Notamacropus eugenii: one gene and its partner. The protein of the gene in region 1 interacts with the protein of each later gene in a biochemical or structural test. Links are inferred from orthologs where the notes say so. Each region holds a gene or a part of one and is shown in the gene's direction. Other genes may lie near its edges. The genes, in order: transducin-like enhancer protein 4 and PAX5.

What was found.
Region 2: the proteins of transducin-like enhancer protein 4 (region 1) and PAX5 form a complex in vitro, tested with the Homo sapiens proteins (2 studies listed by BioGRID). The link is inferred for Notamacropus eugenii from reciprocal best matches to the Homo sapiens genes TLE4 and PAX5.

The regions. Positions count from the first base shown.
Region 1 is NC_092872.1:69,729,918-69,746,595, forward strand, and holds the start of transducin-like enhancer protein 4, read left to right. Parts: upstream 1-7,751; 5' UTR 7,752-7,844; coding exon 7,845-7,889; intron 7,890-8,970; coding exon 8,971-9,068; intron 9,069-10,100; coding exon 10,101-10,164; intron 10,165-11,374; coding exon 11,375-11,419; intron 11,420-16,678. UniProt on the Homo sapiens protein: Transcriptional corepressor that binds to a number of transcription factors. Inhibits the transcriptional activation mediated by PAX5, and by CTNNB1 and TCF family members in Wnt signaling.
Region 2 is NC_092874.1:317,648,642-317,664,988, forward strand, and holds the start of PAX5 (paired box protein Pax-5), read left to right. Parts: upstream 1-10,299; 5' UTR 10,300-10,441; coding exon 10,442-10,487; intron 10,488-16,347. UniProt on the Homo sapiens protein: Transcription factor that plays an essential role in commitment of lymphoid progenitors to the B-lymphocyte lineage. Fulfills a dual role by repressing B-lineage inappropriate genes and simultaneously activating B-lineage-specific genes.

The DNA.
Region 1 (16,678 bases):
TGTTTTATCTTTAATCTGCTGGTGGACTTTAATCATCCCTTAGAACTGTCAAAGAACATAATAATTTGGAAAGTAAGAAAAAGGCCATTTGGAAATGGTGGGAAATTGTCATTTATTGAAGAAATACTTAACTTGAAAATTTAAAATAAAGAAGTGTTGAACATTTATATGTGCTGCATTTTGAAATGAATTAGTAACATCTAAATTCCAATTCAGGAATCCCTGTTCTTTAACAACTTGCTTTTAAAAACAGTAAACATGTGAATCATATTTGTTCACAACAATATCAAAATCCATTTTTCTAGCTCACGTACTGACTACTGAACTTTCTCATGATCATAGTGAATTAATTTATATGGTTACTACTTAGATTTTTTTTTTTTACTGTTCTTTAAAGAAAGTCTAACTTGAGGAATAGAGGACATTTCATACATGCTCTTACCATTTCAAGTCACCAAAAGACGAATCAGAATATGAGTCAATCAGTATCAGATTGCCAAATTCTCTCACTGAGGAAACCTCTAAGTTTTAATAATACTATAGTAGGCTCTCAATAGTATTTGCTGAACTGAATAGCTATTAATCTAGGAAGTTTAGCTTTCCTAAGTTTATTACAGGTTGGTTTTAAATTTGGATGAACAGTGTTAGATTTACCATGAGGCCTTCTTCACTATTTCAGAAGTTGCTACTTCTATGCTTCTATCACTAGACTAAGAGTTCTTCTATTTTCTTTAAAAAAAATGCTTTTGCATAATGCATTAATTCCTGCATAATAGTATAGCATAGGATCTAATTAAAAATCCTTATTTACCTGATCAAGTTACACCTTTCACATAAAATGTATTTAATGATGAAGGGGAGGCTAGGTGGTGCAGTAGATAGACCACCAGTGCAGGAGTCAGGAGGACCTGAGTTCAAATCTCACCTCAGACACTTGACACTCACTAGCTGTGTGACCTTAGGCAAGTCACATAACCCCAATTGCCTCATATTGGGTCATCTCCAGTCATCCTGATGAATATAGATGGTCACTGGATTCAGATGATTCTGGAGGAGAAGTGAGGCTGGTGACCTGCACAGCCCTCCCTCACTCAGAAAAACAAAGTCAAGTGCAAGTCATGTCATCATTTCTCTGATGGCATGGTCTTCTTCAGCAAGGAAGGATGAAGCACGCATTTAATGATGACTGTAAGTCTTTCCTCACTGACTTTAAAAGCCTATCAAAATAAAAGCGGTCAAAATTGTTTTGTTTATTTTAAGCTAAGGTTGAAAAAAATTATTCCTAATGAACGAAAATCTCTCAGAATTTTCTACTTGTTTTGATGGAAATTTGGCAAGTACTACAATTATTGACTAATAAGATTGAATCCATTTTAGTGTTTTCTAAAATTAGTAGTGTCCTGGACAAGATATTACATGATGGCTCATTCACAATGACTTAAAAGAATTTCTAAGAAGAGAAGTTGTGTGATAGACCCGACTTGTTCTAGGAAAGACTATATAATATTATAGACAAGTCCTGATATGAAATATAGTTGTGAGAGTTATACACAGGTATTAATATTATAGGTCCTTAAAATTTGAGTCACACTTAATGACACTCAGAGGACCAGGCAAGGTCAGTGGAAACAAAAATCTGCTTAGTACTCTGAGGTATTCTTAAACTTCACACATTTTTATAACGCACCAAATAGTATAGGATTTAGCTCCATGCTTCCCCTCACCTCAATGTATAGTATTAAGTACTTAAGTATTTAGGTCTGTTTCCCAAGGTAATTGGGAAAAAGAAAAAGAACCTATATGTTCTAAAATATTTATAGCAGATCTCTTTGTGGAGGCAAAGAACAGGAAATTGAGGGGAAGCCCATGAAGGGCAGAATGGCTGAAGAAGCTGTAGTATACGATTGTGATGGAATACCACTGTGCTGTAAGAAATGATGAGTTTGATCAAAAAAAACCAAGGAAAGACTTGAATGAAATAATGAACAGGACCAAGAAAATGTTGTATACAGTACACTAATATTTTTCAGAGTAACTGAATGGCTAAACTATTCTGAGACATATGAAAATTCAAATTAGCTACAAAGGACTTATGAAGGAAAATGCTACCCACTTTCAGAGAAGGGACTGATATATGGAAGTATGTATTGTATGCTTCTAAAAATATATATCTATATCAAATGTTGACCTTCTCTAATGAAAACTTGGAAGGGAAGGAGGGAACTCCAAACATAACAACAACAAAGTGCTTAAGTTTTAAGTATTATGTACCTATTAAGCCCATAGGAGCATGGTTTTAGAATTGGAAGGGACCTTAGGGACCATGCTTCTTCATTTTACAGAGGGTTAACTGGGATCCAGTATGGTTCTTCAGCGATTAGCCCAAGGTGTAACATATATATTAAATGGTTGAGTCAGAATTGGAAATGAGGTCCTGACTCCAAATCCAGCCGTCTTTCCACCTTGCTGCTCTCACCCTCTAATTTTCAAAAATAAATACAAATTTCTCCTGTCTAATTTCTGTCTGGGCTGAGGTTGTTACAGAAGCAGAAACCTATTTGAAGGCTTGGCAAGAGCAATTGAAGAAACAACTCTGTTAGTAAAAAGTGTAGTAGTTTAAGCTCTAGGTGTATTTCTTCAGCTGCTCTTACCAAGTCTTAAGAGCCTCCAAGGAGGAGTATGTATGGGGAGGGGGGGGAGGGGAAGTAGTGGTGGAAAAGAAAGTGGGGAGGAAAAGGGAGACTTGTGCATTGGGAACTAAGTGCAAGGGGTCCTAGAGGTCATTCTTTCTGCAGTCAGTCACAATTTATTAACATAATTCCTTCTACCTTCCCCCTCCTAAATAAATAAATATTAAATATTTTTAAGTAAATATGATTGAAACCACACATTTTTATTGGTCAATACCAATTTTAAGAGTATAGAAAACATGAGCTCTGCACAAAGGACCAGGAAACACAGAATTTCTTTTCTACCTCACTACTTAACAGTTGTGAGATTGGGCAAATCACTTAATCACCAGGAGCCCCGGCTGCTTCATCGGTGACCCTTTATGAGAATATCAGCAAGGGAGATTAAAGTTTTCACAGTTAACTTCAGAGGTAATATCACAGGTATTATTATCCCCATTTTACTGAAGAGTAAACTGAAACTCAGATAGGTAAAACGGCATGTTGCCCATGGTCATAGAACTAAATAAGTGAAATGGTCTTTGAACTCAGATTTCTCCTAACTACAGACTTCCATTCTGTTTATTGCATCCCTTGTGCCTAGACTAGAAAATATTTTTAGGTCCCTTCTGCCTCTAGACTCTTTGAAAGTCAAATAATCTAGGAGTAATTAAAGAAAATAGTTTCGGGGTAGGTGCTGCCATTTCTCAAGTAAATAATACATTGCCCATTGTTCTTTTTACAGTTCTGTTAAGATTATAAGAATCTTTTTTTTTTTGCAATGAGGATGAGATAGCAATCACATGAATAAATAACAATAGTTAGCATTTATAAACTTTGCAAAGTACTTTATACATATTATCTCATTTTATCCTCACAAGATACTTGTCAGGTAGGTTCACAGATTATCTATGAAGCATTAAAGTTTGCCATGACTAAAGAGCTCATGTTGATTTTGTACAGTAATTTATTAAATTTTTATAATCAGTATAGCATATACGAAATTTGGCAGATTGTAATGTTTAGGTGATTGCAAATCAATGACTGAGCCAGAATTATGCCCTCAAATCAATTGATTCTTTAGTTCAATGATGATTTTTCTAGACTAAAACCTTTTTCTCTTACTTGTAGTACTTATATGATAATCACTACATTTCTGTTCAGGGTGTAGTATTCTGGACTGGGGATGTTTCATAGTACCTTTATATTTGACTTTTTCTTTCTCTTAGATATTACAAGCTGTAATGCTTTGTTTCACATCTTAAAGATGAAACATGCCTGAGGACCTGGGTTTTTTCCTGGGGAAAAAAAATCCACATTTTGCTCCCTCTCTTCCAACTCTCCTGTTGACACACAACTGTCAGGAGGTATTATGAGAAAGTTTCCTATTACAAGCTATTTGATATTTCCTCACAGAGCAAAGGACACTCTCTGCTCATTGACCCTCAGTATCTCTTCAGGTTCTGATATTAGAAGTCTCATCAAGTTTCCTGTGCTGGGGGAAGTGAAACTGCTACACAGAATTTCAGTAAATATGGTCCAGTTGATTCAGAGGCTTTCTATGATAGTGCAAGCAACATATCACCCTATTTGCACAAACTTCAGAGAATACTTATGTATCCTACAAAGGCAAGTATAAATTATTTCAGAAAATACACAAGTAAGAAAGGCAAAGACCACAATTTGGAGACAGTCTGGGTTCTGACCCGTACTGAGTGAATTTAAGCAAATCATTTAATCTCACTAGTATAGTTACTGGTAAAATGGGGAAAACAAAACATGACCTAACGGGGACTTGCTTGTGGTGAGAATCACATGAAAATATTGTATGTAAAGTGCCTTAAGAGTCATGAATGATTTTGAAAGTACAGCATACATTTCTGTCATGATGTCAGACATTATTACCAAAAGTCACTTAATTATTTTTCTTAGTTTTGGGAGAGGGTTCAGGATACGGCTAGGAAGGTACCCCTCTCCTCTTTTCGGGGTGGTTGTGGTGCTCTCTAGTATGAGAGCTAGGCACAGTCTCCAAGGAATCTAACAACAACCATTCGTTGTCATTGTTTCCCTTTATCATCATCATCATCATCATCAATCATCATGGTGAGCTATTTAAGAGAAGGGACTGGCTCTACACACTTCTGCGTCATTGCCTTCGCTCTTCTTTATAGGAGGTGCCCTATGTACCATGGAAAAATGGGAGGTTGACTGCTTCAAGCAGGGCATGGTTTTCAAGACTCCTCACCATCCAACATTCTTGTCTTCAAGTGACATTTGCTAACATGAACAACCATGGTCCAAGGTGCCGCAGGAAGCTTCCACTCTAAAATCGGGACCGGCTGGAGAGCTCAGGAATGGCAAGTCCATCTTTCCATCAACCAAGCTTGGGTCTACTGGCTTAGCAAGGCAGCCCTGCACTCGAGCCCCAGGCTCTCCCCAAAGCCCGGGGCCAGGCTGCTTCTTCCAGCGGTCTCGAGATCTCCTTTCCTCCTCTCTGGGAGTGAGCGTCTCTTGGGAGGCTGGCGCTAATGGGGGCGGAATGAAGGGAGGGCAGGCTCCCTGGAGCTTGGCACCCCTCATCACCTATGCGGAGCATCCTGCTGCTGCTTGGTGACACGCAAAGAGGAGGAACCGGGCGTTGGAGGCGCCACCTCGCCCCGGAGGGCATGCAACAGCCCGGCCGTCCTTCGTTTTCCCTACAGGGAGCCCCGAGAGCTCGCGGTCTCTCCGGAGCTAAAATGGGCGAGAGGTACGCACCCCTAGAGAACTCTCTCCACCCCCTTGCCCACCTCCACCCCACTCCGAACCCCAGCCTTTGCTTTATTAGACCGTCGGAGTCAAACTTGCTGGGCTGCATTTCTTGTTCAACAAAGGGGCTGGTGCGGGGGGAAAGAGGGTGCTTCCCCCACCCCCATAAAGTGTAGAAACCGGGAGGAGTGGAAGCTGGAAATAAAGTTTCTTTGGGGATCCCGAGCCTCCTCTCCCAGTCCTGGAAGCCCATGGATAGCTCACTATTTCTCGGACCCAGGCCTGGGATGAAGTTGGCTTATCGGGTGGAGTGTGGGGGGGAAGCCTTCTTTGGGTACGCTTCTCCCCTTTTTCCCTCTCTGGGAGGGAGAAGCCAAGTCAGAGCTCTAGGGTTAAACAGCAATCACATCCGTCTTACACTCTTTAAGAGGAGGCGCCTTCTCCCCCCTCTCCCCCCGCGGTGCCAACCCTTTACAACCCCCCCACCCCCCAAGTCACTGGGCGGTGCTTTTTGTCTCCAAACAAGGGCAGGGGGGACTCAGTCCCGTTCACACGGAAAATTATGCCGGCTCCAGCGGTGCGTAAAATTGATGTGAACTGAAAGAAGAGGGATCAGCGTGATCCTCCCTCTCTTGTCTCAACAGGGGTTTCGGCACGTTACACAAGGCCGAGCTTGTCTCTTTAAGGAGACATTGGACCCTAATTAGTCCGCATTCCTGGCGCGGCTAATGCGGCCGCCGTGGAGGGCAGCGTCGTGTGCATGTTTGGGTTGGGAGTTGGGGGTTTGGGGGGGAGGACGAGGATAAGAAGTTGAGTGCGTTTGACCACCACCGAGCCTCCTTCCTTCCCTCTCTATCCACCCCACCCCTTGCCACCATCACCCAGTTCTGAAGATGCAGCAGCAGCACCAGCAACAGCAGCAGCAGCGGAGGCAGCAGCTCCACCAAACCCCACGTTACTTTGATTGACAGCTGAACAAATGTTTCCCCTGTTCGAACGCTCGCGCTAAGGAACGTCAGCAACCGCGAAGCTCCACCTCGGGCGGGCCGCCTCTGCCCCGCCCCCGCTCACCTCATCCCACACTGTTGATTGGCTCGAGCCGCGGGCGACGCCCGGCCCCCACGTGGGAACTAGCCTGTCCGGCTCCTCCCCACTGGCTCCCCATTTGTCAGAAATGAAATGATGGGCAGTAACACAGAACGGCGATTAATGTTCAGCGGTCTCTGATTGGTTGTCTGTGTCGCCCGCTGCGCTGGGAGTAGGCGGGGCGTTGGTGGGGGACCCAGGAGTCGTCGTTTGGCCTGGCGGTGATTGTAGTCTGTCTCGGTCAATCCTGTAACTTAGAGTAGGGAAAGAGTCACCAGGATCGGACTACATCTCCCGGGATGCTCCGCGCCGCCTTCTTCTATGATTGTGAATATGTATCAGAATGTTAATGATTTGCTGCTGCTAAATTTGGTCAAAGAAGTCACCTAGACAGAGTGTGTTGTTAGAGCTGTTCCGAGCGGTTGTTTAGGCTGCTTGCTGCTTTCTTCCCCTTCTCTCACACACTTGTATGTTGTTTTGTGGTGGTGTTCGAGGAGTTTGAAAGGAGAGAGAAATAAAGCCGCAAAGCATTTCTTTTCTTTTCTTTTTTTTTTAACACCCCTCTTCTTTAAAAAAAATTTTTTTTGAGGGGTGAAAAACAAGAAAAAACAGGAAGGAAGAAAAACCAGGAAATGAGATGAGGTAAAAGAAGCTAAAAGGTGCATGTTAAGAGATCGTTGCTGTGAACCGAATAATCTCCAGAGAATCACTGAAAGCAAGGACCGCTTCCGAATCAAAGGAGTTTGCATTTTTTTTAATGCAAGAAGAGAGGCATTGCATACGGAGGAATAATAACCAATTAAAAGACAAATAAAAGTTTGGAGTGGGGTAGCGAGAGAGACTGTGCGGGTACACGGGGTGTTTCGCGGTTTTCACCATCACCACCACATTTGGAGGGCAGTGACTGGTGCGATCGGAGGGATATTACCCGCCAAAGGAACGTTCCAGGGGCTCCCGGGCAGCCGCTCCTTCGTAAGGACCGGCCCCTCCGGAACGTGGGGACAGCAGCCTCCGAACGTTGCCGGGGGAGACGTTCCACCCTCTACAATGACCGCCGGCCAGTGACAAGCCCCCCGTGGAATGTTGGAGCGGTTCCGTTCTGCCGGGGACAGAGACGCCGCCGCCGCCGCCGCCGAGGGTTCCTCCTCTTGTGTCACGCGAGACCCGGGGGCGGGGAGGGGGGCGCAGGGACCGCCGCCGCCGCCGCCGCCGGAGAGACGCTCCTCCGAGAGCCAGCCAGCCCCGCCGCCCGGCCGCCGGGTGCCTTCTCCTCCTCCTTGTTGCCATTAAAACAAATGAACCGAGCCGCTCTGCCCAGCGCCGCCAACTAAATCGGTTTGGATGATTCGCGATCTGAGCAAGATGTACCCGCAAACCAGACACCCGGTGAGTGGAAGCAAAGCCCGGCCGGCGGGGAGGGGGCGCGGGGAGACTTCCAGGCTGGGATCCCCCCACCGCGCTCCCCACCTTTTCAGTTTAACTACGAAGGTTTGAAAAAAAAGGAGGGGGGGAATGCAAACAAATAAATCCGTGCCCCTACTCCAGTCAGCCCCTTTGCTGCTCCTGGATGTTGGCAAGGAGGGGAAAGGACTGGGGAGCGGGGGGGGGGGGGGGGGGTGTCGTTTCGAGAAAGCAATTGAGTTGTAGCCATTTTCTTATTGTTGTCTTCGGGAAACCCTGAAAACCCGGGGGTAACCATTTGCGATCTCGGCTCCTTCAGTTTTTCCAGAGATGGAAAGGGGGGGGGGGCGCGAAGAGGGACCAGGAGACGGGGGAGCTCTCTCCATCCCTGGGCTGATGGGGGTCCAGCGTGTGCGTGCGTGTGCGTGTGTGTGTGTGTGTGTGTGTGTGTGTGTGTGTGTGTGAGAGAGAGAGAGAGAGAGAGAGAGAGAGAGAGAGAGAGAGAGAAGAGCGCGGAGAGAGCAGAGCGAGCGTGCGTGTATGCTGGGAGGGGGTGATGCCTCCCCCTCCTCTCTCACTTGTCCCTGGAGAATGAAACGTGTCGTTTTCAGCTCCTTCTCCTCCCCCCACCCCCTCATGCCAATTTCACAATGTATCCAAAGTGTCCCTGACTTAGACCGTGGCTGTTTGTCAGTTTCGATTCCGGGCCGGGGGGAGTGCTTGTGTTCCAGACGTTGCCCCTTCTTACCCTTAATGAGAAAAGAGCTTTCGAACCTTGATGTTCGTGAGAAAGGCGTGGATGGGAAAAAAACCGGTGTGTGTTTGCGTGTGTCCATGTCTGCGGGGAATGAGGGGGATGCCTAGCTAAGGGGAAGAGACTTTTCTCTGTATTTGGTTAAAAGACGAAAAGTGGGAGGGGGGGAGTAAGGGAGAGACAGTTTTAATAGCTCTTTGCCTTAATGTGCTGTGACCCCCCCTCCCCCTTTTAGCCCTGCTTGGCATGTTTTCCCAATCTTCGCTCGCCTGTGATGTGGGATAATTAAATAATTTTATTGTTGTTCTTTAGGCACCGCATCAGCCTGCTCAACCCTTTAAATTTACAATTTCCGAGTCCTGCGATAGGATTAAGGAAGAGTTTCAGTTTTTACAGGCTCAGTATCACAGGTAATGATGTTTACTTTCCTTGATCCTCCTGTTTGCTTAGCTCTTGTCAGTTGCCCCCCCATCACCCTAGCGCCCCCTCTTTTTCATTTTGATTAGGTTGAATGTAAAGATTTGGGGTGACTTTTTTTTCTGTTTATAGACAGTAATAGCACCCTTCTGGGCAGGTGCAAAAGAAAGTGTGAGTCTTTCTCCCCAACATAAATAGAAAAGGGGGCAGAAACGCTTTGAGACTGTAGGAGCTTTGGAAGATGGTGGCAAACTTTCAGTAATAATTTATTGGGGCAGAAAGAAAGCAAGGGATAAGGAGATTCAGGGGCCTTTTAGCTTCCTTATTTGTTGCTTGGGATTTTCCTCCTCTTCTTTTTTCTTCTACCTGACCGTCTCACTTTTCTGTTCTCAACATATCAAGGGGGAGAATCTTGGCTTCCAGCACAGCTATCTCATTTCATTTTTGCTGAAAGATGTTTTATTCTCAGAGTGATCATTGACTGAAAGTTGACATTTTAAAATCGTTTTGCCATAATTTTCATTTATGTATGTTTCTTTTTACATGATTTAAAAAAAATAAACCCCAACTTGGACAGGATCAACAATTTGCCCCCCAGGGGTGATGGTATTCAACTTGTCTCTATTTTTGGAGGGAAAGAGAGACATCATTAAGCTACATGTGATTCATATTTTCATTCATTTCTTTGTGGACCATTAAGGAAAACTCAAGTGTGATGTTTTGTGGGACTGAGCTTTTATCATTTGTGACCATATATTAATCTCATTGATTTTTTTTTAAATGAATACACATTTCTGGATGAGATTCAAGAATGAAATAGAGATTCCTTATCTTCCACCTTAAACTTTAAATAACACTTTCTGTTCAAAAGGAGAAATGAGACCACCTCCTTTATATTTTTTTTGGTGTTGGTATTTTAATTGTCGATTTGAAATTTATGGATACTGATCTTGAGAGGTAATGAGCATACTTGGATTAGAAGAGAAGTGTTATGGAGTACTCACGCTTCATTATGTCTTGAACAGTTTGAAACTGGAATGTGAAAAACTGGCCAGTGAGAAGACCGAGATGCAGCGGCATTATGTCATGGTAAGAAAACTGAATAACACGTTCAAAATGTCTATTAGTCTGATATACCAAAAGCAGGAATTCATTCAGGTAGCTTCAGGCTACAAAAGAAATCACTACTGTGTTGCCACTGTATTTGGAATTGTGGCATAATTTCCATCAGAAACCTGTAATTCCAGGATGTTAGAACTTGCTTCGGAAAACCGGTTTTGATTTGAAATTTTCCTCCAAGTTGAACAGCATGCTGTGTCATTTTCTCTGTACTTTGTTTTTTAAGAATTTTGGAAAACAGCAACACAACCTCTGCATTTCTGCTTTGCTTATAAGTCATGATCAAAATATTGGTGTTTTGGTGGCTTGCCTTGTTGTGTTTTACTATAATTGCAAATGATTGTTAACTAACGATTTTTTTGTATATGGTTTAGTTTTTAGTGCTTTCTTTTTTTAAAGAGTGAGGAATTAAAGAAAGATAAAGATCATCTTTTTAAATTAAAAAATAAAATTCCATTTCACCTATGTGTTGAATAAAAGAGACTTTTTAAATTTCCCAAGGTTTATTGCATCAAGATTCCCAAAGTACCAGTTATCATCTGGGTTTAAAAATCACAGTTTCCTTCCAAGACATATAATCATGAATGTTTGTATGATGGCTTCTAAAGCAGCTGAAGGATTACATTGTGGGCTTGCATCTAAGGCAATTTCCCTTTGAATTTGTGGTTATAAACACACTGCTTAAAAAATGAGAAAGTTAACCCCAGAGATTATTTCTAAGTAACACTGCCTTTATGACCAAATTCTGTCAAAGCACAAAGATTAATTCAAGATGTATTTTTCCCATTTACATGTTGGTCTTGCCTAAGAATTAACGTACACTTGTTACTGAGTTCACACACCAGGATTTTTCTTCTCATGAGAAATACTGAGAGGGAGCAGAACATGTTAAAGATGCTCAGATTTTGAACTCTGAATTGTCTTAACATTTTCACTGGGAGTATCTTTCATCCCTTTTCACCCCCTCCCCCTTCCCCTATAATTCAAAATCACTTTTTGTATTTGATTAAGTCAAAATTAGTAGATAGATAGCCGAATTTATCATGGAGTTTATGGGAATGGGTAATATGGGTTGTGGGTTTTTTGAGGTTCTTGTCAGGGAGATGAGGAATTTCAAACAGAAAATAGAAATATTGCCTGATAGTTGGCATGAATTTAATTGATTTTCCTTCCTTGACAGTACTATGAAATGTCCTACGGGTTGAATATAGAAATGCACAAGCAGGTAAGCCTTGGTTGGTTTCCTTTAATGATAAAATCATTTCAGTAATATATCATGCTTTTTAAAAACGTAATTCTCTAGTCTTTCTTTATCCTTTTGTATATTTGCATGGCCCGATTCTCAAAATGATTTATGGTATGTAGAGTGCTACGGTTTTTCTTTGTATTTTCCCTTTTTTTGTTGTCTGTTATCATCATTTTAAATCATAGGTGAAAATGATTTGAACACTTTTCACAAGCCTACATATTATCATTTTCTTTTTTGAAAGATGTGTGTTATATCGTGGATTTAAATAAACTAGAATCTCTGCCATAAGGAATATATCTTTTCTTAAAAAGATTAAAAAGTAAAATTGTATGGAAAGGTAAAAGGTTAGCTGCAAAGAATCAAAATGGACTCTGTAGCCCTACCAAATAAATTGTTGTAAAAATCCTCAAACTGGTCCCTTGAGGCTACTTAGTTGGGTCTTACCAGGAAACTGTCCGTTACTTTCAAAATTTGTGAGAAGTAAATGAGCTTGATAGCAGGATATGATGAGGTTCATCACTGTGCCTTGAAGTCCAGCAATTAGTTCAAGCCAAAGAAAAATAGTGATTAGTAGGAAAGGTGAGTAGTGTGACTCACTGAGCAGTGTGTGGGTTTTAACCTTTTTTTTGCCGGACGATAAAATAAGTGCTTTGATTTGGGTTTCCTAGAGAGAAAAACAGCACTTATTAAAAAAAAAAATGAATTGTTTGGCAATAATAATTTATTTTATGGAGTAGTGTGGTTTTTTTTAAATGCCCTTTTAATAATGTTGCTTGATATCTCACCAACCAGTAATGGAATAGGTGTGTGTCTTCACCTCCCTGTGTACAGAGGCTAGGAAAGTAGTTTAATGTGCTCTTCCTTATTCATATTAAAGATGTCTCTCATTACTTTTTGAGTTTGGAGAAGATGATTTGCCCAGTATTGTTCATCTTTTGCCATATGATGGACCTCTCCTTTGGTATGGTTTTTAGCACCACCAAGGGTACATTTGATTACCTTAAACTTGTGAATTAGAGAGTAAAAGACAGCAAATCAATTGTATCTGAAAACATGAAAACTGGCCAAACACTTGCAAAGCTCCAAAGTCATCTCTTATTTCAAGGGCTGAGAAAATTGGAGTTTGTAATTCGGAATACTTTATTTCATTAGTTCCATGGCTATGTTGAATGTAGCACTGACAGTGTATTGAGGATAGCATTCAGATTAGTTAGAATATCATTTTGGTATTACTGCCATTTCTGTTTAAATTAGGAGCCTAAATACTGCCTGCTTACAGAGAACTCATTCAAGCTTACGGTCTTCCATTCATTCCGCTTTACTTGAACAAAGTACAGCTGAGATGTTTGTATCATTACTGTTCAATTTCATCTTAGGTCTGTATCTTGTACATGTCTTTTTGCTATATGAAGATTAATTAGTGTCTTTTAAAGATTGAACTTAGTGACTAATGTCCTTCTATGTTTTCCTCCCTCTTTTTCTCCCTCCTTCCTATGTCTCCATAACCTTCTAGGCTTAGATTTCTTTATGCTGTGTAAGTGCTGGACAGATAGACACTCCATGTTCTGCCAGAAGTATAGTCTTTTATGATGTCTTCTAATTACATTTTATACTTACACCTTTAATTGTGCAGTCTTCTTGTTTGTAAGTCCTCAAACGCTGTCCATTTTAAATTGAGAGCAGAGTGTATTTCCCCCCCTTTTTTTTCCTCTTGCTTTCTAAATTCAATCACATCAAGAATCCTGAGGGCAGTTTATCACATTATGAAATACAGACAGGCCTGCAAACCACCTACTTATTATATTTTCTTTCTTTTTCCCCTTAAGCACAGAGGCATATCTGTCTTTATTTGTTTTCCTAGGCAGACAGCCTTGGTTCCTCTTAGCTTCTTTTCCAGATGTACTCGCTGGATGCCCTTGTAATGGAAAGCAGGCAATAATGCAGTGAAGTTGCCCTGCGGCATAATTGGGCCTAGTTCTCGAGATCAGGTTAGGCTTATTCACTTATTAGATTTGCGTCTCAGAGGGTTCAAGAGTAGGAGTCCCTGGAGTCCTTGGAAGTACCCTAGTAATTGGTGGCCCTGATATTTGAAACCTTTGTGTATTTTTCGGTTAAAGCTCCTGTTCTTCTTGGCTGCTTCCAACTACACAGTATTTATTTTTAGAGAAATTTTTCATTGGAACAGAAAATGATGGCTGTGATGGAGGCATGACTCTGTGACTTAGCAAATTGATAAAAGGATAAATGCATGGAGCAGAAACGATGTGGGGGTCGATATTGTCTTCTCCCCCCTCCCCCCTCACTTGGTGCTCATCATCAGTCATCCTGTGTTGATTTTGATAGAAGACTATTAAAGTAAAACCTATGGGGAATTTGTCATTCTGAAATGAAAGCTTAATGTAATTAGTACCAATTAAAGTACATTTAGTAAATTGGATTTAATCTTAATTAAGCCTGCATAATGTTGCCAATTTTTAACAATTATGTTTGAGAACATAATTAATTTAAATTTTGGTAACTGAGTAAATAGCATTAGATTGGTAGAATGAGTTGATTTTTTTTTTTAAAGGGGAACTGAGGGTACACAGTAACGTGACATCGAATTAAAGCACAAGATATGAATCTAATTTTTGGTAATCTCTACTAGGATCAATAGAACTGAGCAGATGAAACTAGAAGAAACAAAAGTTAAGGAGGAACATTATAGGCTATAATATGAGTCTATACTTCCTTATATCTCATATTCTAGTATGAAAGTGAGGATGACAAAAGGAATGCATTTAAAGAACATTTTATTGAGATGTGTCTGCGTCATGAATTTCTGAAAAAATGAGAGACTATCAGAGAATAATTCTCTCGCTGTGCATCTCAACTGGTTTGTTGTGTAGAAAGACAGTTGATAGTGTTTAGTAGATGTTACTTGTGTTGCCAGTTAATACCTTAATAAAAACAGTGTCGCTTTTTATCTTAACATGGGTCACTCATTGTTGCAGAATTGGGCTATGCTTGAGTTTGAGATCATCTTAGGATGATCTTAGCACATACTGCTCTTTTATGTATGATGCTATAAGTAAGAGAGACCCTTTGGGTTTAAATAGACATTTGTACTTAGTATTGAAGGTTGAATATTGGAATTTGATTAGCTAGTAGGCATTTCTGAAATAAGAGCTACAGGAATTTGAAATGTGGTAGTGATGGAAGTATTACATTTTGGCCGAAAGAGAATAAGAAATCGTCTATCTAGCTTCTTGCTAGTTAACGTTCCCTAGTCAAAAGCACCCCTTGTTTCCAAAAATTAGTCTTATTTGATTTTGATAAATCTTGATTTTGTAGAAGCAACAATATGAGAATCTAAATGAAGTAAATATACACATACAAATGTTTTTTAAAAATCAAAGCAAGAAAAACTTTCGCTCCAAGCCATGTAAATTTTATTACAAGACTTGGGCAACAACCATTTGAGTGCTGTTAAAATATTAATTGAATAGAAATGAAAGGGCTCTGCCAGCTGATAGGATCTCATAATCATAGCTGCAGCAGTCGATGGTAAATGATGATAAATGGCATTAGGAACCTTTTAGCAAACTGTAATAACTACAAGGAGGGAAGCAGTATGGATTTGCATTATATCTGATACCCTCTAGTACCAAGTGGATTGCCAATACTGCTTGTTTAGCATTTTCTAAGGGCAATAGGATATTGATTTCTGACTTACAAGGAACAGCTCTATTTTCACCATTGAAAAGTATTTCAGGTTGTTAAGAAGAAATTGACTTGAAGAGGCCTGACTGCTGCCCATCATGGAGCAAATAAAGCAGAACTGCCGAAGCATGGTAGAGCAGCAAGATGGGCCCTCAGCAATTTGTTGCTATTAATTTACCGTGCTCGACAGCAAATCAATCGGCATCTACTGCATCTGCTGGAGAAAATGCTGTCCGGGGCAGATAAAAGGCCCTGCACAGCCCAGAGAATGGACTGGATTGGCCAAAAGGAGGCTGCAGCTAATGTGTAAATAAGTGAAATCAAGGCCACTGTTGCAGAGGAAGCTGTTTTTAATTAGGTTGGGGCTTTTTACTGAGCTATTTTAGAAGCAGCTCAGGATTTTGAGAGTAAGGAGAGATTTATTGAGGCTGAAGAAACATACAATTGGCATGACATGTCATTCAGCCTTGAGCGTGGTTGATTCTTGTGTCATCATCAGTTTATTTGGGGAAATATAGTGAAGGTAGAAATCATGGTAGTTTAGGTAGAAACTAAAATGCTTTGTTTACGGTTCCGTTTTGACCCTTTTAGCTTTTTTTAAAAAATTTCTCAGAAGTACCTGACTTCTTGAAGGTGAATTATCCATTTCATTGAATGCCTTATAGTTAGGAGGCATCCAAGGGAGAGAGAGAGAAAGAGAGAGAGAATATGAATGAGAGTTTACTTCTGCATATGCTTAACATGACTAATTTTTTTTTTTAACAGAAGTAAGCAGAATTGAACTTTTATATAATGGTGAAAGTACGCTGTAATTGAAGGCGTTTGTATTCCCTTTGTAAATAACTAGGATGCTAATCCCAAGTGATGCTGGCAGAATTTGCCATCCTTTAGTAAACAGTAGGAAATTTTAATGGAAAGATGAATGGAAGGGATAGTCACTATTGAACTGGAAAACCTCAGAATGAAGGATTGATTGCAAGGGGAGTTTTAAAAGCTGTGGAAAAACACTGAATAGGATCAGAAAGTATAGTCTTCCTTCAGATGCATACAATTTTGTGTGTTTTCCATCAGTTTCAAAGTTTAAAAAAAAATTAGACTGCCTACTTTTTAGCTAGACCAAAACAGCCACCTGCTTAGTATAATACAGTAGTGCAGCCATCCAATTATCTATGGGGTTTACCAGTAATTTATGTCATTCCACAGTTTAGTGTCCCTAGTAATGGTCACATTCCTCCCCCATTTCCTTCCTTCTTCATGATTTGCATACTTTGGGATAGAGTATCCATTTTGCTTATTTCTGTTTAAAAAGCTTAGCTAGCCGAGCCAAGTTATGTCTTGATTTCAGAATACATTCTTTCAGCAACTGCCAGGAAGATGGGTTGGTAGGCCTAATGAGGAAGTGGAAATGGAAATTTTCACCAGGACAAGAGTCAGCCAACCCTTTCTTCCCTCGCATGAGACAGAGACTTACTTGCAGGAGAAGTAGTGCCAAGACATTTTCCTCTCTCAGGGTTGGCTATAACTACCAGATTG
Region 2 (16,347 bases), on another chromosome or scaffold:
TTCGCTGAGAGTGAAATAGAAAGCGAGCATAAGGAGATGGGGATAAAACTGGGGGTTTGAGTAGAGAGGAGAAACTCAAGAATAGCCACTGAACAGCTAGGGAGTCAATGAAAGGTAAAAAATTGGGTTGCCAAGGGATGGTGAGGACCAGATTGAAGTTGAACAGCATGAATTTGTAGTGGGTGGGGTCTGTTTCTGTTTTTCAGTCCTAGGAAGGCATTAGCAATGCATCATCCTGAGTGTAGAAAGGAAAAGAGCTTCCATCTCATAGTCTCCCCTCAGTACTGGTGCTTGATCGGGAAAATAGTGGCTTTTGATGCTTTGCTAGAGTGTAGGGAACCAAATAATGTTGAGTAGGACTGGGCAAGTTTCTAAAATACAGAGCATTTTTGTAGGGAATGGGAATACGTAGCTACTGCACTCCAGTCCTCTACAATATTTCCTTTCTGGCCTGTGAAATATATCAGACCTCTTCCGTAAATGTAGTATCTCAGCATGCATGTATGCTATCTCTATACAGAGTGACAGAACTGAGCCAACTGCATATGAAAAAAAAAATCTACTGAAAATGGTGATCAACTGTTCCCTTTTTCCCTTAAGGGCAAAACAAGAAAAACCAGGCTTAAGCTGCAGCCTGAGGGAGTGAATAACAGACTTTAGGAAAACATTCCTAAGAGCAGGGTTAACGTGGCAGGTTGGAAAATCATTCTTCTCAAAAAAGTCTTTACAATTAGACTAAATTCTTTTCTGTCTGGGATAATTCAAATGTGTTCCTAACTAAAGACAAGTAGCTAGGGTAAGAGATTTCCTGACATCCTTTCCAGACTGTGAAAACAATGCATACCGAGAATAAAAAGAATGTTTAGAGATTAATGTTATCATTTATAACTCTCCAAAAATTCAGCATTTGGATTTTTAAAAGAAAAATGCCTGAACTAAATGTTTTTAAGATTGTGGTGTAACCAAAGAAGTAACCAAGCACAAAATGTTAAGTCTCTTCTTAATTAAAAGGGTTAATCCACCTAATAAACAGGGTTTTTCCAAATAAACAAATAAAACCCCCAAGGCAATTGTCTAGTAAACAAGGGATCTCATAAACAAATCATTCAAAGTTGTCTGACTGTGATCTGATGCAATGAGTATTTGTGTTTTTCATGGTTTTTTTTTTTTTTAATAAAAAGCTTTTTCTTCACATTTTCTTTTGCTACCTAATTTCATGCATCAGAGGTCAAAAGACAAAAGGTCAGGCCTTGTTTAAGCTAACTCCTTGCCATGAGTAAAATCTAGGGAAACGTTTTTTTCACACAGCCTGTAAGTATTTTTACATTAGCTATAACTTTAAAATTTTTCTCTTTACCCACCAAAATGGCAGTAAATCATCCCCACCCGTCAATTTCTTCAAGTTGTATTTTCATGCTTGGGTTTATCTTAGGTTCCAATGCTATTAAATGGCAAGAGAGTTTTACTTAACCTTGTACACAGGTAGTAAGTGGCATTTATCTATGTACAGGTGAACTTTACTTATATACACATATACAATCTTAAAAATATTTTGAACACCTGAGTACATACTTCTTGGTTTTCTCAGGAATTTGTAAAGACTCATGAAAACATACCCAATTTCTCTATCATTGTAACATTTTGCTTAATGAATAGGCATTTTTAAATACAACTTTTTTTTTAGGTTCTCAAAAGACCATTGGCCAACTATTAGGATTTCTTTTTAGTGTTTTCTTTTGCTACTGGTAAATTTCCAATTAGAAAAAAAGGGAATAATGCTATTGCTTTTCATTAGAAATATCTGACATTTTAAAAAAGCCTTTTTAACATATAATTTTTCTGTATGGATGACCTTCATATAACAACTTAAAGTTCTTACAGAGGGATAGTTTTATGGATGGGATTTTATTTTATAAAATTGTATACGTCAATAGGGCCTTAGTCCCTTAGTGGAGCATAGAGGAACAAAAAAGTAATAAAAAGGCAATTTTAAAGTGCTATTTTTCTCTTGGAACTCTGTAGCATTTCAAGAAATTACTAGGAATTTAGTTTGGTGTCTCTGGGGTTGCTAACATTCATATCACAGACCCTGAGAATATGAGGAAATTTTTAAAAAATTACTTCTCTTTTAAATGGTTAATAAGTTGAAAAAAATTGGCTAGTGATGAGTGCAAACTACTAAAAATAGTTGCTTAGTAGCTGATTTTAAGAGCCATCAAAAAAAAAAAAAAAAAGCCCAACTATTTAAACAAATGTAACCTGATCCAATGCAGCTCTATTCTCTCTCCACCTGACTTTGTCTTCAAGGAAAAAGTAAAACAAAATAAGACAAAAGAGTAGCTTAGGGTTGAATTGGATATTTAAACAAAATTTGGCATTTTACTGATTTGTAACCTAAGCTTCTTGGATGGGACCTTATGTTTGCTGTGATGCATACTCATTGAGAGAATTATATATCACACTTATTACAGAAATACATAATCAAAGGTTCTCAGGAAAGAACTGAAGATATGGCCTAATTAATTAAGTGCATCACTTAACTTTGCTAGAGTATCATTTTGATCTGTGTCTAAAACCATATGAATTATTTTGCCCAACTACTAACTTGGATTTTCAAATCCCTTGGGAATTTATTCATTTTTATGTTTTAGAAGTTTGTAGAAGCAAATTATCTTCAATTGCATTACGCTGAAATAAACAAATGTGGTGGGTTCACATTCTAAAGTACACATAACACAGAGAAAGAAAAAATTGTCACATAAGTATTACTGGAAATAGAATAGATCCAAGAAAACTTTCTAATGTGTAAGTTATAGAATAATTAAGTTACAATTAAATACAACAAGAATTTATGAGTCCTTATTTTACAATTAAACTAAGGTTTGTAGAAGCTTTTAAAAATAATTGTTTTCTCATAAATTATCATAGCTTTTAGAAAATTTTAAATATCATCAAGAGTACTTTTTTTTTTCAGAATTGAAGATTAAACATTTAACTTCACAGAGATACATGCTCTATAAAAACACCAAGGAGAGGCACACAAATAGGTCTATTCCTGCCCTTATATGAAAACATAGCTTCTCCATCTATAAATGTAAGTCAGAATCAAAGGTTAGCAACTACTTACTGGATTTGAATTGAAATTAATCAGTTCAAACAAACCAGATTTTTGGTCACTTGAACCTTTTCTCTACAATATCTTGTTATAGCCCTCCAAAGAAATAAGGAAAACTAGGTTTTGTCATACGGGTCGCCATAATGCAATATTGTGGATGTTTTCATCTTACTTTTAACATTTCTCCCCAATGAGTTACAAGCACGTGCTGCGATTTTTAGAAGTCTTTGCTTTCAGTCATTTAAAACACTTAGAATAAAAGATGTAGGCATGTCTTTGGCATGTATTATTAGCTGGGACACTGCGTTTAAGCGTCACTCCCTTTCGACTTGCCACGGGTACGAGTTCTTTGGTTTCTATTAGAGGCCCGTAAATGTGATTTGGAGAAAAATGACAAAATGTTCATTTTCATACAGTGCTATACCTCCCCGGCCTAGGGAATCCTCTCTATTCGAAAGTGTTGATTAGGGACTGTGCCTTCCTGGAGCGCAAGGTCACATCAAGCTTAGCAGAGTCAGCCAGGGAGATGCGGGGGGTAGGTTTTACGATTGGCCGATTGATTGATTGATTGGCAGAGCTAAATCACTGGTAAATTGGCCCCCGGCAGCGTGCGATTATTTCGGGCAAAGTGGCTATGACTTTGAATCAGCTCTCCGAAAGTAGCCCTTCCAACTCAACCTGCTAAACTCGCTATTCCCAGGCCTCTGTGCCGAGGAGAAAGGACTCAGCCCAGGCATAAAACTGGCGGTCAAAGCTGGGAAGCCAATCTGTCCCTGACTCTTGAGTACAGAAGCTCTCTTAACCCTGGGCTTAGGTTCCGAATCCCGCCCTCTTCTGAGGCTACGTCTTGGGATCTGGGTAGGTATGGATAAGTGACCACTGGATATTGGCTTTCCCCTGGCCTACTGCAGCTCTCCGACGAATTAGACCACTCTCCCTCATCCTGGCTGGGGTAATTTTGGTGGCAAAACCTGGGCCTGGGCCAAGAAGGCTGAAGGCCGCTGTTAATAGCTCCAGACCCCAACTGCCTAGCGCTTGCTGGGCTGACATGTTAAGAGATCTAAGGCTTCATGCCCTATATCAGGACCATGTCTTGCTTCGGGGCCCTCTGTCAGAGAAGTTATCACAGTCCTCTTCAATGGGGAGGAAGAGGCCCTCACAAAGCGATTTTCCGTAAGAAGATGCTACTCATTGCCGAGGCACCTTCCATTCTACCTGCCTGGCTCAGGAATCTGGGGGTGGGACGGGAGGTAGAGAGATTGGGGTAGTGAGGAAGGTCATTATCACCTCCATTCCTACACTCTCACCTCCTCCTCCCAGTTTCTTCATCTAGGCCCCCCGTGCCATTCCCCACCCCAGGCCTCTTCTCTCAAATAGACAGTTTAGCTAGCAAATATGCTCTTTTGTGTGTGCGTGTGTGTGTGTGTGTGTGTGTTTGAGGTGGATGGGGGTGGGGAAGAAGGGAAGTGAGTGGAAGGCGAACCCTGCAAGGTTCCTTCACTCGTTAGAAGGAAAAGCCATTTTCAATGTTAGGATCCGCAGGGCCAGCAGTTCACAGAATCACAGGCTAGGGAAGGGACCTTAGGGATCGTTTAGTCCAACCCCCTTATTTTACATAGGAGAACCCTGAGATCCTAAGAGCGATGAAATGTGCTCAAGGTTGCACTGGTAGCAAAACTGACCCAGAAGGTAGCTATTGCAGTTGCACCTCGGTCAGCGCAGGCCTCGGACAGCTCCTGTCCTTGGTTTCAACTTTCTGGCTGCCAAAGCGGCGGCGGCAGGGACTAGTGGAACTGGGAAACTACGAAAAGAGGCGAAACGGGAATCCTCTGCTTGTTCATTAGGCCAAGTCCTCGGCAGGACTCCAGCTCAGGTCTGGAGACCGGGGTTACCTTGAGGCCAAGAGGACAGCCGAGCAAACCAGTGCGTTTGGGGGCGTGACTGTCCTCGCAGCTAGAGGTGCAGGAGGGAGGGTTCTGTGTATGGGAGGAAAGGGGGGGGGAGAGGACAAGAAGGAGAGGGTTCCCCTTTTTTTTCTTCCGGCTGAAACTTCAAAGTGCGGCGACCCTCCTCCGCAGTGATCCGAGCCCGGCTAGAAGCATTTCTGAAGATGTCTGCATTCCTTCCTTTCCTGCTTTTGATTTCCTTTTGTTCCGGGGGCACTGTAGAACTGAATGAACCTCACCGAGGAGCTTTTCTTTCCCTTCTGTTGAAGCTTTTAAACTGGGAGGTCCCCTTTCCCGGCCTCCACCTCTGGCCCCCCTCTTCTCTTCCCCCACCTGTCCTTGCTACTGCCTCAATGTGCCTGCAAAGCCTTGGTGTGCCCCTTAGAGCACACGTTGCCGCGGCAGGGGGGAGAGAGGGAGGGAGGGAGTGCGGGAGGGGGTGGGCAGCCCCAGGGACCCTTGCCACACGTCCGGCTCCTCCTGGCTCCCCAGCGAGCCCAGACCCTCCGCTTTCTTTCGTACAGCTTTTCCTCCTGCTGGGCACTCGCACGGGTCCACTTTGGGCTACCAGGCAATTGACAAGAAGCAGTGTCCAGATCCCAAAGTGCGCGTGTCTGCTGCTGGCTGTGTGTAAGGAGGGAGAAGGATTGGGAAGAGGGGGGAGGACGAGAGGGAGCTGATTTACCACCTCTCTGGGAAGACAGTGGCCATTACGCCCTGGATTGCAAGAAGTTGTGCTGAATTCTGCTAGGCTTCAAGTCCAAAGGCAGAAGATGACCAGAATACCGCAAGTTGGTTTGCAGCTGTCTGCTTAAATGCGTATATAAGTTCGCCTAGACTTCTGTTTCTCACTTTTAGGAATTTTATTAGTGGGAGGGCAAGGGAAGGGAGAAGAGGGGGAGGAGGCCACAGCTTTTCTGAAATGTCAACAGTTTTCTTTCCCAGACTCAAAGGCATTAAAGCTAAAGAGAGGTTTTTAGAGTCAGCAGCAATCCAAACCAGGCCCTTGCTGCGACGGAGAATATTGGTGGTCTGGGATGCAAAGAAACGGAACGGAAAAAGGGCTTTGGGAGTAGGTGCTGGAGACTGCGGTAGCGTTTTTAATTCGGACCGACTATGTTTTAAGTTGTTCGAATCCAACTGACTTAATACTCCAGTCAAGTTGAGATTAAGAAACCGGAAATATAAAATGCATACATATACACATACACCAATGAATTTATTTTTAAAAGAAACATATTCCAAAGAGAAATGTTTTTATTCTGTCTCTCACTTAGGGTGGATGAGTGGGATTTAAAGGGAATTAAACTTCAGCGGAAAATGAAGGATCGGATTTTTAGGAGAATTCATACCTGAAAAAATATATTCAACACATTTTCCACTTCTCTAGGGGAAAAAACACACTACCAATCCCCCAAATATACACGGTCAAACCCTGGTGTCGCTCAGACTACGGCTTTTATTTTGTTTCTTTTTCACTAGCTGAACAACCCCTCCCGCCCGCCCCCCCCCGCACTTGTCAGTGTGCCACTCCACCCCTTCCTGCTTCTGCCAGTCAAACAAATACTTAATTTCAATGAACACATTCGTAGTCTACACGGGATGGAGAAGAGATAACTGTGAAAACAACCAGTGAGACGGTTGTGGGTTGCCCCCTCCTCAATCAGAGAAATAGGCAACTGAACAAAGATAAATTTGCAATAAGAACGCAAGGCACTATTTGGTTCGTATATCCCAGACTCGGGGTTTCAATATTATACATACTTTTGCGTTGTGGGAAAAGGCACAGATAAACGGCAAGCCTGAAATTCGTGCAAGCTAGCTATCCTGGAACAGGGGAGGAATCGTGGGCGAAAGGACACGTCCACTACTGTTAGCGGGAAAAGAGCAAGAAATATATCGCTGCAGTGCTGCACTAATTTATGCCTCTAAGGGAAGTCGTAATTTAGGTCGTATTCACACTGCTCACATAAGCTCTTGTAAGCATCAAAGGAGGAGGGTACCCTTCTACCAACCAAGAGTAAACGATTCCTCACTGCATTATTCGGAAATCCATTATCTTTTCTTGTTACAAATCCAATATTTCTGATTTTAGCCATTGGTAGCAGTGAGTCCCTCTCCTGAACACTTCCGGGATGATGATGAAGCTAGATGCAGGTTGTTAACCACAGCTGCACCAAAGTAGATGCCCTTACCCAAAACAGAAACAACAAAAAAGGACCCTCCCTCCCACAAAAGGACAGCAATCATACAACCTGATAAAGTAACAAAAAAAAAAATTGAAAACGACATGTTGAAATGTAATTTTTTAAAAAAGGCTTTTACTCCTTCTAAATGATAATTTCTCCCATCTTCCCCACCTCCCATTCTGCTCAGGGCTAAGTAGGGATTCTCCGAAATCTATCTCTGAGAACTGGGCAAAATGGAAAGTTTGCATTTTGCAAGGTTTCTTTTCTATACCACCGCGTTCTAAGGGAAGGAAACTCTTTGGTAGAATTGAATCGAGGATGAAGAAGGGCCCTCGTCTTAAGATTACTGAGAGAGAGTAAAACGTTTTTACATTTTGCATTAATATATAAAGAAAGAAAGAAAAAGGTTTTAGTAGAGGGAAGGAAGTGAGAAACCAAACCAAACCAAAAAAAATTCTCAGCCAAATACTACCAGGTAGCCTAGTGAGGTTCTCATTATAAACAAACCATTTTTACAATTGTTTAAATTCCATAAAGTATGAAAATTATTACTAAAGTATATAAATGTTACTTGACATGGTTATTTAAAAAAACATTTAAAATCACACGTCATAGTATTGTTTCACCTGCAATTAAAATAAGCAGCGTTTCCTCCCTTTTCTCCTAAATTTATACCCTACGGAGATTGGTCAGGTTACTTTTTGAACATTAATTAATTCTGAGCACTCTTACCACAGAAATGACTGTTATGAAGAGTGAAGGGATTTTTTTTTCCAGACTTTTCCTTCATTTGCACAATCCATGTTGGGAGGTAGTTTCCACTTAAATGGATATATTTATATAGAGGAGAGGGTCAAGAACTGCAAAGGGTGGCTTGTTGAACCATATTTGGGGTCAAAATGAACAGAGAGAAAACGTTTCTGCCTGGTATGGATCCTAATCTCCAAGATGCACAATTTGTATAATTTTTATTTAATTTTTTTAAAAAAATTCACACACTACAAAAAATTCCTTGGCAAAACATATTTTGCTACCAAAACAAGCTTTTTGTGTTGGAAGCATATTTCACATGTCACAGAGAAAGAAGGGGTAGGGAGAGAAATAAAAGCTTCCTTGTTTGGGAGAATGGTCACAGTAAATACTTAGGCTGAAATGATAAAAAAAAAAATTAGGTCATTTTATTAAGATGAATTCAGAAGTAACACAGCTTTTCATGCAGGTGCATTTTTATCATTGTTTTCAGCCATATCACATTGAAACTTTGGTGTTTGAAGAGTGTAGTAAAAGGATAGCATATTTATTGCTCATTTTTAGGTCTCTTTTTATGTCAATTCTAAGGACAGGTATTTAGTTTAGGTCACTGTTCTAAGACATCCCTTTGCTCTGTATAAGAGGGGAAACATTATACATAAATGTATCATTTGCTGTTGAATCAACACCAGCTTTTACTTATTTTTATGCACTAAATTTGCTAGAGGAAGAGAGTTTTCACTTTTCTCAGACTGTATTCAGTGAAGCAGCAACCTATTTTGAACTCAGGAAAAAGAAGGGTCTAGATTAAGAAACTGTTTTGATACCAAGTTCAACTGTAATGGCAAGGCAAGGACAGTTTATTTGACTTGAAGAACAAGCACATTTTAGACAGGCAAGAATATTTCAAAATTAATGAGATTTACTAAAAGAATTAAAGGAAGATATTTTTAAACAATTGCTTTGAAGTTGATATTTGATTTTTCTCTTAAAGCAAGCCTTAGTCCATTGTAAAATTTGTGTAGGTTACCTATTAATATGTACATATATATGCATATTCATTCATATGCATATATAGGTACAAATAAATACGATCAAGATCTAGTAATAAGGAACTACATAAAATAGTATTAATTTGAATATAATAATTTGGCTTTTATATTCCCAAAACCACCCATGAAGGGGTCTTAATAAAATAAAGTGGGGAGGATCAGATAGAGAGGGCACCATGAACATTTTTCTGGGGGAAGGGAGATTTTTATTTTATCTACACTATGCAATTTTGGGGGGAGAGGAGGGAGCTTTTCGATTTATGCAGTAGCATTATGTGGGTCCTAAGGAGCTATTCACAAAGGGGCTGCACACTTTTTGCTTGTTTGTTTGTTTTTAAAATTAATTTAGGGTAATATAAATCCTCAGCTCCATTTTTAATATCTTTTACTTTTCCTCTTTGAAAAGTCATTTATATTATTTTATTTTTAAAAAATGCTCACCGCAGCAGGTTATATGCTTTCTACTCATTCACGATCGTTTTTGAAAAACTGTTGTCTCGCTAAGGTAAGAAATTGGACCACAACTGAGTTGCAGTAAAAACCTCTCTCGTTTTAAACAACGATGCATGGCATCATGGGATAATAAAAAGACATAGAGTCCCAGGAAGGTTAAAACCCTCTATTCGACCTCCTTCGATTCCATTAACTTTACACACAGACACACACACACACACACACACGCACCCACACAGACACACAGACACACACACACACACACACACGCACACACACACACATTGTGAAGAAGTAGGAAATAACATTCCACAGAACAGCCTACTGGATGAAAATGATGCTCAGCTATGTTTCTCTCAGCTCGCCTTTTCTGTTGATTGTAGGAGTCGGTTATGTTGAAAAGTTTATTAATCCTTCCCTCTCCTAACCCCCCACCCACGCTTTGCAACGGTCTCCCTCCACCCCCAATCTATAAAAGCTCTTTAGATGTGTGGTGGTGGTGGTGGGATTGTTTGTTTTTCAATATAGTAAAGTCATCTTTCTTTGGCTTCCCAAACAGTGCTCTGTAAACATCTAAAGTCATACTTTCAGGCAGTTGGTTGCAAACAAACTTTGATTCTTGCTAGAAACGATGTCAGAGTTTCTTGGGTTTTGGATGCGTCTGGGGACATCTTGTGATGTTTTAGAGAACAGGACATGATCTCACATGGCGAGAAGCTCTTTAGTTCCTTAATCATTTCACGGTTCCTTCGGAGGCTTTTTTTTCCACCTAAAACGTTTAGTTTCAGCTCAGTGATCAGCTGCAAAAGCTCGACGGGGAGCGGAAGAGTTGAATTATTCCGACCTGCAAGCAGCCCCTTACAAAAAAAAAAAAAACCCTAAAAAAAGTGGAAACTTTTTTTCCCTGTCCATTCCACCAAGTCCTGAAAAATCAGAATGGAATTAGAGAAAAACTACCCGACTTCCAGGACCGGTAGAACAGGTAGGACTGAGTTTCTTTTTTACAGGGAGTTATAATACATAATTATGAAACAGGTTTTACTATACATGCATAATATTCATTAAATATCCTGACAGATCTCTCGATTTATAGTTGTTTTTGAATGTATATTTAGATATGTGAATATATGTAGACTTTTTGTGTTCAGGTGCAATATATCTATATTATATTTATGATATATGATACATAGAAAGACAAGAAATATACGTATACATGTGTATATACATATAGTGTGTAGATGTATTCATACTAAAAATATACATACATATCTTGTGTTTTGTGATATTTTAATATAGATATGTCTATTTAATGAAGACATGTCTATGCATGAAAACCTATAGGATATAGATGCATGCATGTAAAAATAGATGTATTGATTTTTATTATGTATATTCATCTTATGCTCATGAAATAATATAGTGTATCTGTATTCTGTTTATTAAAATGTGTGTATGTGAGTGTTTATATTGTCTGTACGTATTTTATAGATTAAATATGTGAATAATCCTAGAACATAATGTGTATAGGCAAACTTACATAACTAGAATCTAAAAGTTAAGGAGAGGGCTAAATTCTAACTTCAGCTAAATGATAGAGATGGCTTTGGTGGAGTTTTTATTCATCTGTTTTTGAGGGATGGTAGCTCCTAGGAATAACCAAATGTTGACTCAAAAAGCCAGGTGCTTTCATTTTACCAAGATATTTGGATTGAATTGATCACTCTTTGCCTGGGATGTATCTTTTGGATCTCCAAGAGATTAGCTAGAGCAACTATTTTCAAAGGGAAAGTCAACATACAGGGCCTGGGGGTTCCTTCAAGGCTAGGCAGACTCCTCTACTCAAACTGTGACTGCCAGACACTCGTGAGCTCACTGTGGGCAGAAGTTGAATTGGGTTTTCCTGAGGAAGTGAGGAGAGAAAAGGTATCAACTATCGATTTGGGTCTCTGTGCAACACTGGAGCCTTGAGGATAAGAGATCAGCCTCAGCAGCACGCTTGGCAACAGTAATGGAGATGAGGACTAGAATGGGGAGGGGGGGTTGAGGGGTGGAGGAAGAGGGGGAGGGGAAGAGATGTAGGGAGGGAAGGAGACACAAGAGAGAGAAGAAGAAGAAGAAGAAGAAGAAGAAGAAGAAGAAGAAGAAGAAGAAGAAGAAGAAGAAGAAGAAGAAGAAGAAGAAGAAGAAGAAGAAGGGAGAGGAAGGGAGGGAGAGTGGTGTTGGTGAGAATCCCTGAAAACTTTTAAGAGAAAACACTAGCTTTTATGATTCTGGATCCTCTGATCCAAGAGGAGAAAGGAGGGATCAGAGAGGAAGAGGTGGGGAGAAGAGAAGGAAGAGGAGGAAGAGGAAGAAGAGATGAAAAGAAGAAAGGAGAGGAGAGGAAAGGAAAGGAGAGGAGAGGAGAGGAGAGGAGAAAAGGCAGCATCTCTAGTCTTGTCTCTGTATGATTCCACACGTTTTCAGAACAGGAAAAATTTCAGGTCTAAGATTTCGTGCGAGACGTACAGTAACTACAAAAGTCACTTTTGCAGCCTGCTGTATATGCTCTAAGGTGGAGAGGGGAGGACAGGCCGAGGGAGGGGCAGGGAGGAGGGGGACCGAGAGAGAAGAGAAAGGTAGATTCGCTGCAGATTGAGGACTGTCCCTATCGTCGGCCCCTTCTTATCCCAATAGTTCCTAGCATCCCACCCTCACCTCCCACCCCAGTCACCTCCCAACGTCCTTTACCCTGGCATCGCTTTCTCAGTTACTCCCAAACCCAAACTGCAGTTCTGTGGCTAAGAAAAAAGACTTCAGCTTTTAGGATTCCAGATTCAGAAGGGAAAAAGCAAGGCCAGGGACCCTGAAGGAGTGTGGGGCACGAGGAGAGTGGGCATGTATTTTTAACTGTGCAAAAGGGTATAGGAAGCAGGGCAGGCGTTCATAGTGGTGGATCCTGGTGGAGGAGTTGGGGCGGCAGATAGAGCCACTGGAGTGCCTGGCATCTGTGTCTGTTGGCGCACTCTTGTACTGACAAGCTGTCTATAAATAATGTGATTTCGAGGAGATCGATGAGCTCTTTTATTAGTTAAATCGCCTGAATAATCGTTTAATCGATAAGCATTTCATTCCTCTTTGCTGCAGGCACCGGAATGGGGCTGGTCGAGGAAGAAGGAAGGGAGGGGGTGCCAGAAGGGAAAGGAGGGCAACTTTGAGCTCACTTGGACCTGTTTCAGAAGCCCATAACGCTCTTTCTTCCATTCCTGTCTCCCAGTCTCTCCTTCCCTCCCCCCTCTACTTCCTGTTTCTGGGCTGCTCAGGCAGACATTTCCAGTGATAAACCCCAGCCTGACCTTCCCAGCTCATTGCCCCCTGTCCCCACCCCACCTTGTCATCCCTTTCTTAAGTGTGTATGTTTAGTTGGGGATGGATGGGTGTTGCTTTGTATTCCCCAGCTTTCACCATTCCTGAGCCTCTAGTTGATAAAGGCAACCTGTAAGGATGGATACTAAACTGGACCCTATGTGAATAAGTGGAAAGAAAGTTGTTTGAGAATAGGGGAGGAAACGAGAAAGAAGCAAAATGCTGGTTGAGACTTGACCCCTTCTAGGTCAGAGTTGTTGGGGCAGGAAGAAAAGGGAAAAGGTGTGGGGGTTTGAAGAATGGAGGGTCCTCTGGATTTGAGTCCAACTGTATGAGAAAGGTCGTAAGGTCATTGTGTGGCCTGTGATGGGAGGAGGCCACAAACCTGAAAGGGAGAGGAAGGAAAAATTGGAGAGTAGGTGTAGAAGGCATCAACTAGAAAGTGTGTAAATGTAACCATCTCAGTTTGTCTGTTCTTCTATCCCTCCACGGTTCTCATACTTCACTTTTGATAGGTTGGACCTTACTGGAAGTTTGAGAGGTTTAGATTCCTAGTTCAAGCAAAATGACACATTTTAAGGATTTGGGTTGGAATGAAAGTTGGAGTTTTTCTTGGAGCCATTTTCACTTAGTTAATAAATAATGCTTCTAGTCTGAAACCTAGTTGTCAAACCTCTCCCACTAGCACCCCAACCAAAATTGCTTGAGTCATGAGTTAGGAATGGGGTATTTATATGCTTCAACCCACTTACAATGGAGCAAATTCTGTTGCAGGTGCTGAAGTCAGTGTTAAGTGGATTAGGTCAAATATAGAGAAATGGTTAAGGGCTGCCACAGAGCTCCTTCCTTTTACTGGTCTCTTAGATCCAGAATCACAAAAAACAAGTCAATACTAATGCTTTACCTCTGTCCCTAATCTTTCTCAAGGCCTCTACTTCTTTCTCTTTTCTGTCCTTTTGGGGCATTCCTTGCCATCAAGTACACAATTCTTTTCAACCTTCCCCTGATTTAGTGATTGGGCAGAGCATTTGTCCTTAGCATCCACAGGGTGAGTTAAGTTGGGAGAACTATCAATGAGGGACTTCAGCTGGGATAATGTGAGGTTGGGTTGGCATGTTAGGATTTGTATTGGTGTCACACCTTTCACTGGTGGAATCAAGTCTTCTTGTGTGAAACATTTTTCCACCTAAAAAAAAAACCCAGGCCAAAGTAGGAGTCAGGGCTTCCTCCTTTGTCTTCCATATAATCTCAAAAATTAGCATCCCCCCCCCCTTTAAAACCAGAAAAATGATCACTTTGACCAATAATATATATCCCAGAAATGCCTAAAATTTTGTAGGCTTTCAAATTCTCTTTGTTTGGAGGGGTGGCATGAGAAAGAGGCAAAAGAATTAGAGAATGCATTGAGATGAATTAGAGTTAGCAATTTCCTAACTCTCTCTGGCAAGGGGAATCAGCCAGAAGGAAGAAAAGGACGAAGTAGAGGGAGACAGTTTGGGGAGAGGAAAGGGGAGGGGAGGCTTAGCTTAGTCTCTTTTGAGTCTCGCTCAGGGGTAACGTGGTACTGATGGACACCCTGGTCTCCTGGTGCCTGACAGGTCACTGAATCTAAGCAGTCTGTTAAGGGAGGTGCTTTTCCTCTCTGTGACCCGTGAAATAATCTATAGAATTGTTTACTTTCAGATCAAATCTCGCTGTCAAACACTCTCTGGTCGGACACACGTGGGGACCACACTTCCACTCTCAGCTTCTCCCATCCTGGGTGGGTTTACATAATCACTCATCAGGACTCCTAGACCCTATATCGTTTCTAGGGAGTAAAAGGAGGACGGAGGCTAGAGAGTGACCACGGAGTCCTATAATGCTCCCTGCATTATTTATCCTATATAGTTTTAAGGGGAAGAACAGACCAGTTGTTGCCATTTCACCCAAAGCTGGACCTCAACCACTATTGTGAATATAGCAAACTGCGGAGCGTTCCAAATAATCGCTAAAGCAGATCTCTGAGGCTCATTGTTCTTTAGCAAACACAGAGCACACACTCTGATCCAATAATTTCCCAGGAACCCAATGATTAGCTATCACTTTTTAGTCCCGGAGTTCGGCAGCCTGGGGACGTGGGGGTGGATAGAGGGAAAAAGAGGATAAGGAAGATAGGAGGGGGTTGGTAAATTGGAGGTTACCACGTGCATCTCCGGCTTCTGCTTTAGGTCTGAGTTCTGAGAAAGATGGTAAATAATAGCACACGTCTTCCCACATTTTTTTTTTTAAAGAAAACACACACACACACACACACACACACGAAGAAACAAACCAACTCAGAGTACAATAGAATTTCTGCTTGGAGAAGTTAGCGGTTTTTAAGCTTTTTTTCCAGACAACTTTTGGTGGTGGTAGTTTGATGAAAGAAGAAAAGCAGGTAGACTAGACGAGTCCAAAATTTGTCACCCATTCTCCTTCAGTCCAAACTGGAATATTTGGTTCGACGCTTGGATTCTTTTACTCTGCCCCACCTCCCCAACCTCCACCCCCGGCAAAAATGAAAAGATCCAGTGGACGAATTGGGACTGAATATGAGCAGACGATGGACAGAGACAGAGAGAGACACAGAGATCGGAAGATAAAGAGACAGAGAGAGGGACATAGAAACAACGGAGACAGAGACAGAAGCAGAGACAGAGAGAGAGGTACACGGTGATGAGAGAGACAGACAGACAGACAGACACAGAGAGACACAGAGACAGAGACATACCACGTTTAAAGCATGCAAGTCAAGGAACAAGGAACTCTTCCAAGCACAAAGATATGGAAACTTTTTTGGGGGGGTGGGTATTGAAGAATCCAAACAATCTCTGTTCTTCACAAACTTAAAACAAACTTGACATAGACACCTAAGAAACCCTAAAACTGTTTCTTTTTCGGAGGGCTTGCGGTGGGACATATATTCAGCTCTCCGAGTTTAGGGACCATAGACTTTCAGCAAAGGTCCAAAGAAATAGAATCCCTTGCCCTACTTTCGTTTTCTCAGGAGACACTGGAAAAGTATTTTCAACGAATCCTTTTTTTGAGTTCGAAGTTTTCTTGCCTTGTTACTCAGATTGGGTGAGGGCGGTGATACCCTATAGCAGGTGTGTACGGTGGGAATACTTGGCAGAAAAGATTGTGTGTAGGGGCTGGGGAGTGGGGTGGGGAAAGCAGGAGAAGTCCCCTGAACTTTCCGTGCTTAAAAACAGACACATCACCCTGGATCAGTGGTAGACTGGGGAAGGGAAGGGAATAGAATAGACTTTACTGTGTGCCAGACACTACGCTAAGCGCTTTATTATCATTTGATCCTTACAACTGCCCTGAAAGGCAGATGTTGTTATAATTCTTATGTTTCTCTTGAGGAATCTGAGAGTCAAAGTTGAGTTCCAGTGTTTGGTATTTCTGGCACATAGGATGTACAGGTAGGGGAAAAATATAAACTCAAAGCAGAAGTCACGTCAACTAGTTTA